Caenorhabditis elegans: one gene and its partner. The protein of the gene in region 2 purifies or fractionates together with the protein of the main gene of each other region. This does not show direct contact. Each region holds a gene or a part of one and is shown on either strand. Other genes may lie near its edges.

Region 1 (4,840 bases), on a different chromosome or scaffold from region 2:
AAATTACTTGTTGCCGAGCCGAGTCCGTTTTTTGATGGATCTGCAAAAAAAAAGTGGTGAAAAATGGAAATTTTTGCCGATTTGCCGAAAATTTTAAATTCCTGTAATTTTCCGATTTGCCAGAAATTTTAAGTTCCGAAAACTTGCCGGATTTTTCAACTTCCGGCAATTTTCCGATTTGCCGGAAATTTCGAATTCCGGCAATTTTCTGATTTGCCGGAAATTTTTAAATTCCGGCAATTTTCCGATTTGCCGGAAATGTTCAACTCTGCCAATTTCACCCGATTTGCCTGAAATCCTCAATTCCGCCAATTTGCCGGAAATTTCAACTTTCGGCAATTTTCCGATTTGCCGGAAATTCCAAATTCTGGCGATTTGCCGAATTGCCGGAAATTCCAAATTCTGGCGATTTGCCGAATTGCCGGAAATTCCAAATTCTGCCGATTTGCCGGAAATGTTCAACTCTGCCAATTTCACCCGATTTGCCTGAAATCCTCAATTCCGCAAATTTGCCGGAAATTTCAACTTTCGGCAATTTTCCGATTTGCCGGAAACTCCAAATTCTGGCGATTTGCCGAATTGCCGGAAATTCCAAATTCTGGCGATTTGCCGAATTGCCGGAAATTCCAAATTCTGCCAATTTGTCGATCTGCCGGAAATTTTAAATTCCGGCAACTTTCCAATTTGCAGGAAATTTCAATTTCCGATTTTCCGGAAATTTCAAATTTCAGCAACTCGCTGATTTGCCGGAAATTTTAAATTCCGGCAATTTTCCAATTTGCCGGAAATTTTTTAATTCGGTTTGCCGAGCCATTTTTGCCCAAAAATTACAAAAATTTTTGAAAAAAGGCGGTGTCTAGAGTCGAAAATCGCCCGTTTTTTTAAATTCAAAAATTTTTTCTAATAAATGTATATTTATAAATTGTGGAATTTTCTATTTTCTGTGGAATTTTTTGGTCTAAAACTGAATAATTTCTCTAGAAAAGCTGAAAACGGGTGGTCCATCCGACTCCATCGGGCGATTTTCAAAGAAAAAATGTGGGTGCAAATGCGCTCTAATGCGAATTTCTTCCGCATTTTTTTTCGTTAAAACTATTCAAATTGCCGCCGAATCGCGCGGTCATTCTCAACGGAGCGCGATTTCCCGTACCATTTTCGGTTTTCACGTCGCCACCACCAGGTTGTTTGTCCTCCGAACCCATTTGCTTGGCCTGGAAAATTGTAAAAATTGATTTAAAAAATTCATGAGAAAATCCAGAAAGGGCCCAAAATTTTAGGGAATTTCTAGATAAAATCCCCTAAAAAATGAGCTTCTGACTGAAAAAATCCATATTTTTTTGCATTTTCAGGGCGTGCTAAGACCCAAATTATACTTTTCTGACCTCCTCATCAACCGCGGCGGGGGTGTGCTCGGCGGTGCCAGTGTAAGAGCAAAAGTGCACGAGAACTTCAAAATAATATGTATGTATTTTTATCGGAATTCTCTGTCTCTCGAATTTTGGATAGAACAACTCCTTATCAGTCGAGCGGAAAAAAAAAACGACGTGGCAGGAGCAGCAACAGCGCCCAGCGAAAAAAAAGTAGTGGCGGAGCAGTGTTCGATGATCAGAGGAGCAGAAATATTCGGGCGGTCTAGACGAGGTAACGGTGGTGATATGAACCCGAAAAAGGAAATGAGAAACATGTAGAGCTGAGAAAATTGAGAAGAAGAAGAAGAAAAATATAAATTCTCACGGTTGGACAACCCAGAGACGAGAAAATCGACAAGTTTTTGGCGGGAAAATTTGGCGATTTTCGAGGGAAAATCGATTTTTATATTTTTACAAGTGCTGTAAGAGTGTCTCATTTCGGCTTGATCTACGTTGATCTACAAAAAATGCGGGAAAAGAGACGCACACTTTTAAACTGATTTTGCATGGTTAAGAACGTGTTATTTTTTTGGGCAAAAAATTCCCGCAATTTCGTAGATCAACAAAACGTGATGGGACAGTCTGGCACCACGTGTTTTTATAGGACCGCAGAAAAAAGGTCCGGGGTGCCGCCGAAAAAATGTTCAATTTTCGGTCTGTTTTTTTTTTGAGCAAAATGAGCAAAATTTGAAAAAAAAAACCGGCAGGCCTGATTCAGGGGTGCGGGGTACTTGCCGGAATTGCCGGAAATAATATTTTGGAAGTGTTTTTGAAATTAGACGCCTAGACATGCATTTTTTTGACCCGACTACAGAAAGCCCCATTTTTTTCAGATTTTTGTCGTTTTTCCTGGGTTTTTTAAAGGAATTTCTAGGAATTTCTCTTCCCCGGAGCCTGAGCCTAGGCCTAAGCCTATGCTAAAGCCTAAGCCTAAGCCTAATCCGTCGCCTAAGCCTAAGCCTTAGGCTGAGACTAAGCCTCAGCTTAAGCCTATGTTTAAGCCTGAGCCTAAGCTTAAGGTTAAGCTTAAACCTATGCCTAAAAGCCTAATCCTGAATCTAAGTTTAAGCCTAAAAGCCCAAGCCTAAGCCTAAGCCTAAGCCTGAGCTTAAGCATAAGCCTAAGCCTAATTATAAGCCTAAAAGCCTAAGCCTAAAACTGCGATTTTCAAGCTCAACATGTTGTCAAACTCGAATTTTTAAAATTTTTAAGTTTGAATTTAATTCTTTAATTCTGATTTAATTCTGAATAAGGCTAAATTTTTAAAATACAGTTAGGTTTGAAAAAAAAGCTTAAAAAGTGGGAAAATCAACAAAAAATTGAAATTTCGGACGTTTTCAGTTCAATTTTAAGCGAATTTCGGTGAATTTTTCCGGAAAACCACTCCTGGTACGTGAAAATTCGATTTTTCTCAAATTTTTGTGATAAATCTGCTTTTTCGAAAAGTTTTTGTCTGAAAAATGTGCATTTTTCCAAAAATCTACGAATTTTGCGGTAGAGATACCGGGATTTCGCTAGAAATGTTCGATTTTTATGGATTTTTTTTTCAGCTTCACAAACTTACACACTGATCGACAAGCTCCACCTTATTCCACCCATTTGCATTCTTTTTCTTCGAGAAGCTTCCACGACGTTGAGCCTCGACAACCGTATCGGGATCCTGGAGAGAATTGATTTTTAACGAATTTTTAATGTGAAAATTGTAAAAATTAGTTTTTTAATTCAAAATTCCTCGAATTAACCTCAGTACTGGGGGCCATCATGCCGCCGTTTTCGTTGTTTTTGATTTCCTGTTGAATTTGGAGAGTTGCGTTGAAAATTGCTTGACGCGGGGGCTCTTGATGCTCCAAATAGTGTTGATTATTTAGAAGATGACGTGGCGAGCCTCCTGGCACATTCTCTGCAAAAAAAATCAATAGATTTGAAGGATATTAGGCAGAAAAATGAGAAGAAAATCTTTAAATTTAAATTTAAAATTCAAAGAATAGAGTTCGTGGTGAGACCCATCGCAAGAATTACTGCATGTTCCTTTAAAACTACAGTAAGGCTCGATTAATTTTAAAAACTTTTTGAATGAGAATTCGCCAATTTTTCAGTGAAAATCAGTAAAAAATTGGGAACTGTTAAATATAAAAATACATGACTTTTTCAATTTGAAAGTTTGGAGCCAAAAATTTTCAAATAACGGCGCAGAGAAATTAATTGTCGGGTGGGTCTCGGCACGATCGTGGTGAGACCCGCTAAAAACATGGAGAACAAATATTTTGAGTTTTCCAGAAAAAACAACGACAAAAAAGGAGTCAAGGCTTGGGTGGTTTTTTTTTTTGAAAAACCGTGCACAATTTTCAGTACTCGACTGATAGCACATATACATAGGAGAGAAGAACATCTAACCCCCTTGGCGATGCGAAAATAGCATACGAGACAGAGAGACGCCGTACATTGGTGGCGTAACTGATAAAAAACTGATAATAAGTCTCAAAACCACCGCGGGCACTAGGCGCCAGCGCCGAGAAAAAGTAAGAAAAAAATAAAAATGTTGAGAAGAGGGGGAATAGTACTGTATCTATAGCCACCGGTCTTTTTTTTTGGAATTTTTTCGTTTTCGCGAACGGAAATTCGCAAAAAAAGGGAAATTGAAAAAGTAACCAGTGAAAGTGATTGGGAGGATGATATATATTGATAAGGGAGACCGGTGGAACGTGAGAATTTTGAATTCCCGCGCTGGACTACGGTAGGAAGGCGAAATTGGGATTTTTTGAAAAACTCTGGAATTTTCGAGTAAATTTCGTCTAAAAATGGAAAAAAATGTTGCGAAAATATTCTAAATTTTCTTTGAGGCGACTGTAGTTTTTTTTATTATTCGCCAAATTTTGAAATTTAATGCAAAAAGGTGTGCGCCTTTAAAGAATACGGTAGTTTCATTTTTTTTTGGAGTTTTTTTTTTGCCCAGTGTTTATTGTTAGTTTTTAAATAAATAAATAATACATTTTCAAAAATTGATAATAAATACCGGAACAACGAAAGTTTCAAAGTACAGTAATTCTTAAAGGCGCAAAACCTTTTGGCATTCAAGAAAAAAATTTTCGTGCCAAGACCGAGTACCGTATTTCTCGCGGAAAAAAATCGCTAATAATCGCGTTTGTGTGATATTTTTCCGCTTTTAACATTCAAATCAGGTGTGGGCGGAAAACAATTTTTTATCGGCAAACGGCCAATTGGCATTTTGCAAAATGAAAATTCCGGCAAATCGGCAAACCGGCAATTTTTTCGATTTGCCGGAAATTTTTTGAGCAAATTCTATGAAAATATCTAAAGAAAACGGGGAAAAACTTCAAAAAGGCACAGTTTTAAGAGTTTCCGGCAAATTGATATCCGGCAAATCGGCAATTGCCGGATATGAGAAATTCCTGCAAATCGGCAATTTTTTC
Region 2 (5,153 bases):
TAATTGACCTTATTAATGATAAAACTACCGTACAAATTGTAAATAAATGAATTCCACATCAAAGGATTATTTGTTCGCTTTGAAATCAGTTTATTGATTGTGTGCACTGCCCATACATACTCGTTATTCTGAAAAAGTATTTAGAAATGTTGAGATTAGAGTTGTTTTCCCAAACCTCAGCGAGTTGAGCGCCGATAGCTATTCCCATGGAAGTTTCGCAGATGATATCAAGAGTACAAAGGGCGATAACGGAGAGAACATCAACTCTTTCACTGAAAATAAACATTTGAAATAAGTAATTATAAATTGAAATTCTCACTCTGCACCAAGGCAACACAATTTCTGAACCAAAATCTTCAATAAAAGAAAATCAAAAAAAGACGCCATTGTTCTTTCTGGCTCGTCAAAATACTGATTCCAAGCCATGGTTCAAGCAAAACGTATGCGAACCCTGTTCAGATGTTTCGTCGACGAGAAAATTGCTTCAACAAGGTCGCCAGAGTAGAGCATCAGGCATGGGAATGGACCAATCCACAGAAGACACATTCGTGGATCTGGATATAAATATCCCATTCCAATCACTTGGTTCATGAATCCCTCTGGATCTGGCTTGGTGATGAGTCCGTGACCGATGATTGGGTATGATCGTGGCTGATTGAGATGCTGAAAATTTATTGAAGTTATTCATAAATTTATTTTGAAATCAAACCTTCAAAGCTTGACGCATTCTCAAGTGTTTGTAGAGCAGCCAAGCGATCACCGTCGCCGAAGCCAGAAGTACAGCGAGGATGATAACCCCCATGCATATGATGAATAAAAAAATATTAAATAAAATAAATGTTTATTTTCATAAAAACTGGACAAATTTCATATATGGACTTATCGGAACAAAAAGAAAGAAATAATAATAAACCAAAAAATTTGAAAATCTATGATAAAACCTTTCAGATAACTTCTCCACAGTCGGTGATGACGCAAGCCTTGGAACCCTTCGTGTTTGATTTATTGAAGGCGATGCGGGAGACAACTTCGGTTCCAGCCAAAACTTTACCAAATGCCACGGTTTTTCCATTCATCGATTCATATGGAAGAATCGAGATGTTGAACAACGAGCTGTTATTGTCTTCTTTCAATCAATTTTCCTGAAAAAAAAAGCTGATTTCAGATGCGGATATTCATGAAATAAAAAAGCAGATGAATAAAAATAAATAAATTCCCATTTCAGTCTCTCAATTTAGAAATGCTGAAAAACTGACCATCGGCAATATTCCCGGATTTTGATGCATTTCAAGATACTTTTCATTTTTGAAATTCTTTTCGGCAAAAAACGTATGGGTCAAACATTAGCCAAATAAATATTCTGAAAAGTTAGTTTTTGATAGCATCTTTTAAGCTGGATTTTGTCAATTTATAAAACTTTTAGATGCCTAAACATCACTTACAAGATTGAAAGCCCAATGAAAAAAACTAATGTTCAAATGAGTTAGCAATGGAGCGCGTTTACGTTCTTTGCGCGAGCTTCGAATTTTTCTGCTTTTATTTTCAGAAAAAAACACTTTCTGAAGTTTTTCAGTTTTCCTTCAATTTGTTATATCTGGTTTCATGCATTTTTTAATCGTAAGAAAATTTCATATTCATTTTAGTTTATCGAAATAAGAATTACTGTTTTAAAAATTAAACAGAATTGAGAAAACCACAAACTAAGCGCCCTGTGTTATTTTTTAACCAAAATTTCTCAGATTTTAAAAGATATTCTGAATTGATGCGAAGTAATCGTGTTTCTCTAAATTATATTCTCAGTTATTCTAAAAATTCCCCTCCTCTTCTCACATGCTCTTTTCCTAATTCTCAATGCAATTTTTCACAATTTATATTATATTCACAACCAAAACTATATTACTAATCGAAAATTGCAGACGCTGTCCGAACAGTTGTAGGAGTGGTGTCGGGCGACGTCAACGTCTCGAAACAGAACCAGGACTGCGAACGCGGAGAATTTTGTCTGCACTCTCTCCGAAGAGAGTGCAGAGAAAACCAGAAACGGGTAGTAGACCACCCAGTCGGTTAACTACGGTGGATTGGAAGAAGTGACCAGCAAGAAATTTCAATGTAAAAATAAGAGAGATTTCCATTTATTTCAATTGTAACTGTAATGGAGGTGGATCCGGGTTCAGATGATGTAGAAGCTGACAGAGAAACGAGAGCTCAGAAACTAAAATTAAAGTAAGTTAAATTTTTTAATGTTTTTTTTTGTTGAAATTGTTTTAAATTCTTTAATTCACATCCAGTCAAACTAAAATGATCAAAAACTAGGTTTTCAGAAGAAATGTCAAATTCCGTGCACAAATGAGAAGATTCGACGAGTACTGTGGAGTGACTAATTTAACAGTAGATGATCTCAATTGGCCTTTAATATCTGGAATTCCTTTACAAAGACAACGATTGACAGGAGCTACGTATTATGATGATAGTCTTCTCGATCAAAATCCTTGGGATGAATTTTCAATTGATCGATTTCTTGAAATTACTTCAATTCAATTAATAACAGCCGGTGCTGGATATGAAAGGAATGATGAAATTACTCGATTCGTTTTTCAAAGAACAATGAAGACAATTGTAACTTATTGCAATTTTATGTATGATTTGGCAAGGCGGAACGGGAAAGTGTGAGGCGAATCTGAAATTTTATAAAATAAAATTTTAATTTTCAGTCAAATAACTCGATTCGAGTTGCAAGATTTGATTCATCGCGATGAATTTCGGTTTTACATGTATTTTCGACAATTTTTAGTGAGTTTCCTTGTTTTATCATAAATTAAAACAAGCTCTACTTACCCGATTTTTTTTTCGATTTTTGAACCAAAAAAGGGATATCCGACTCGACACGACAATTTTTAGTTAAATAAAAACGGGTGTGTGCCTTTAATAAGTACTGTAATTTTAAACTTTCGTCGCTGCGGAATTTTCTTAGTTTTTCGGAAAATTGTTTTAATTAAAAAACTAAAATTACGCAATTACCAAAAAAAAACAGGGATTTTAAGAAATCAGGAAAACATGTAAAAACCGGTGAAAATTTAACAAAAACAAAATCTTGAAATTCCAGTACTCTTCAACGGCGCATTTCCGTTTGTATTTTACTTTTTTTAAAATCCTAATTCCAGCCCAATCCGGATCCGAATTGTACGGCCTTTTCCAATCACTACACGTCTCTTCTTCATACACTCTATTTCAATATTCCGGGAATGCCACAGTTTTGGAACAATTCCCAAATGTATAATTACGCTGCTACCCGTGGTCAACGCCTTGTTCAAAATATCGCCGCTTTTTATCCACCCGAATATTTTTGGAACGAAGATGAATCCAAGTATCATACTACGTTTGTGGTTCCACGTGGCACAGAGTTCTCAAAGTTTTATGCTCGAAGATTTCATGAAGCACTTGGAATGCCACCACTGGAAAATGAGATTATTACGGTTTTGGATTGGCTTGCGAAGCTCTGCATTTTGGAAGTAAGCATTTTAAAAATGTTATTTATGTACTCATATATTAATTTAAAGCTTTTAAGCGTTAAAAACTATTTTACATTTGTAGATTGTATATCACACAACGATTTGGTGCGACATAACTGGATTTGGAGGGCTTCCACGTATTGAGCACTATCGTTTAGCCATGGAGAATGTTGGTAGGAATTTATTGTTAAAATAATTTAAAAGTATATACATGACATGTTTTTCAAAATATAAAACACAATTTTTTTAAAGCGAAACTTTAAAAAATCATCAAAAGTCGAATAGCGTAAAGGGAATTTTTGTTTTCATAGTCGCAAATTTCTAAATTCTACAACAGAAAGACAAAAAATCGACATAAAAAATCCATCGTTTGAAAACATGCTTTTTCGATTTTGGCATTTTTTTGTATTGAATTCAAACCCGGATGTTAGCAAAAATTTTTAAAAAATCACGTTTTCGGTATTACTAAATTCTCCACATTTAAAAAGAGTCCATTCTGAAACTTTTTCGATTAAAAAATTTCTTTCACAACTATGTTTTGTTCTAATTTCAGAAGACATCATATTCGACTTGGCAATTGATGATTTCTCAATTTCCCGTCTACAGTTACAAATTTCGCCGTTTGAAATCTCTCGCTACTCACCTCTAGATGTATCTGGTTATTATGAAACAATTAAAAGAAAAAAAGATATTGAAGAATATCAAAATCGTTTCTATGAAGTTCATTATTCTGATGATGTTCGGATTATGAATGTTTATGCTACTGATTGCTCCAGGAAACGATGATATCAATTGTTATAATGATTTGCTTTTAATTTTAATATTATTTCATTTGAAAGTCTAACTCTCTATATTTTACCCAGATTTCCTATTTAATATCACCGATTTGCCTTCTATCTCACTAACGCTTCTTGTGTCATTCACTTTCGAATCCTCTGGTTTACATTTTGAAAAATGTCATAATGGTACACTGCTAAAAAAAGCTGGTTCCATATCACTTTAATTTGTTTTAAGATTTGTTTAATTTAAAATAAAGGTATAGATAATATCGATTAAGCTGCTTACAATTGGTTAGACGCTACGCAAGTGCGCTCTGGTAGACAAACAATAGCATCTGTTGAGTGCGCAGTTGGTTTACACTCATTCAAATGTGTACGGGTGTGGCATTCGAAACATTTCGAATGAAACACTAAGAGTTCCAGTTGCTTTTACGAGTTTTTGTGTAATTTTCAGTTGATTTAACGTTTATTGCTCATTGCTAGAAGCCGAACTACAAAAAACCCACTATTTGGCAATTAGTCTACTACGACTCAATTGGTAAAATATTTCGAAAGTTATATTTTTCCAATATAACCATCAATTTCATAATGTAGCATCTTTCCTTCAATTTTTAATATTTTTTTGTCATTCTGAATAAAAAAGTACAAAAGTCATGCTGAAAAGGATACATATCGATACAATTCCACATGAATATAATTTGAATTTCTATTCAACTGATATACATTACACATATTCGCGTGTGCTAGAAAACTCGTATTTTCCCATTCGATACATCATCTGCCAACTTTCTTAACAATCCCAAGATCGTCACCCTTTCCTCCACAGCACCAGTCCCGCCTTTTTAACAACGATCTGTTTTTAATG

Evidence for each region.
Region 1: the proteins of fem-3 (region 2) and tra-1 purify together in Caenorhabditis elegans (affinity purification with western blotting, with the first as the bait; one study listed by BioGRID). This does not show direct contact.

Annotation. Positions count from the first base shown.
Region 1 is NC_003281.10:11,191,892-11,196,731, forward strand, and holds the start of tra-1 (Sex-determining transformer protein 1), read right to left. Parts: upstream 3,311-4,840; 5' UTR 3,173-3,310; coding exon 3,152-3,172; intron 3,070-3,151; coding exon 2,974-3,069; intron 1,212-2,973; coding exon 1,151-1,211; intron 41-1,150; coding exon 1-40. UniProt on the Caenorhabditis elegans protein: Plays a major role in controlling sexual phenotype. Terminal global regulator in a well-characterized cascade of sex-determining genes. Promotes female development. Interacts with tra-2 to promote spermatogenesis.
Region 2 is NC_003282.8:9,103,050-9,108,202, forward strand, and holds fem-3 (Sex-determination protein fem-3), read left to right. Parts: upstream 1-1,916; 5' UTR 1,917-2,152; coding exon 2,153-2,223; intron 2,224-2,313; exon of another isoform or gene 2,314-2,321; coding exon 2,322-2,666; intron 2,667-2,711; coding exon 2,712-2,790; intron 2,791-3,161; coding exon 3,162-3,509; intron 3,510-3,591; coding exon 3,592-3,682; intron 3,683-4,062; coding exon 4,063-4,295; 3' UTR 4,296-4,558; downstream 4,559-5,153. Other genes in the region: C01F6.14 (Ovule protein), read right to left, coding at 848-1,072. UniProt on the Caenorhabditis elegans protein: Required for male development. In XO (male) animals, fem-3 directs male differentiation in all tissues. In XX (hermaphrodite) animals, it specifies the first 80 or so germ cells to be sperm. Negatively regulates male development when bound to tra-2.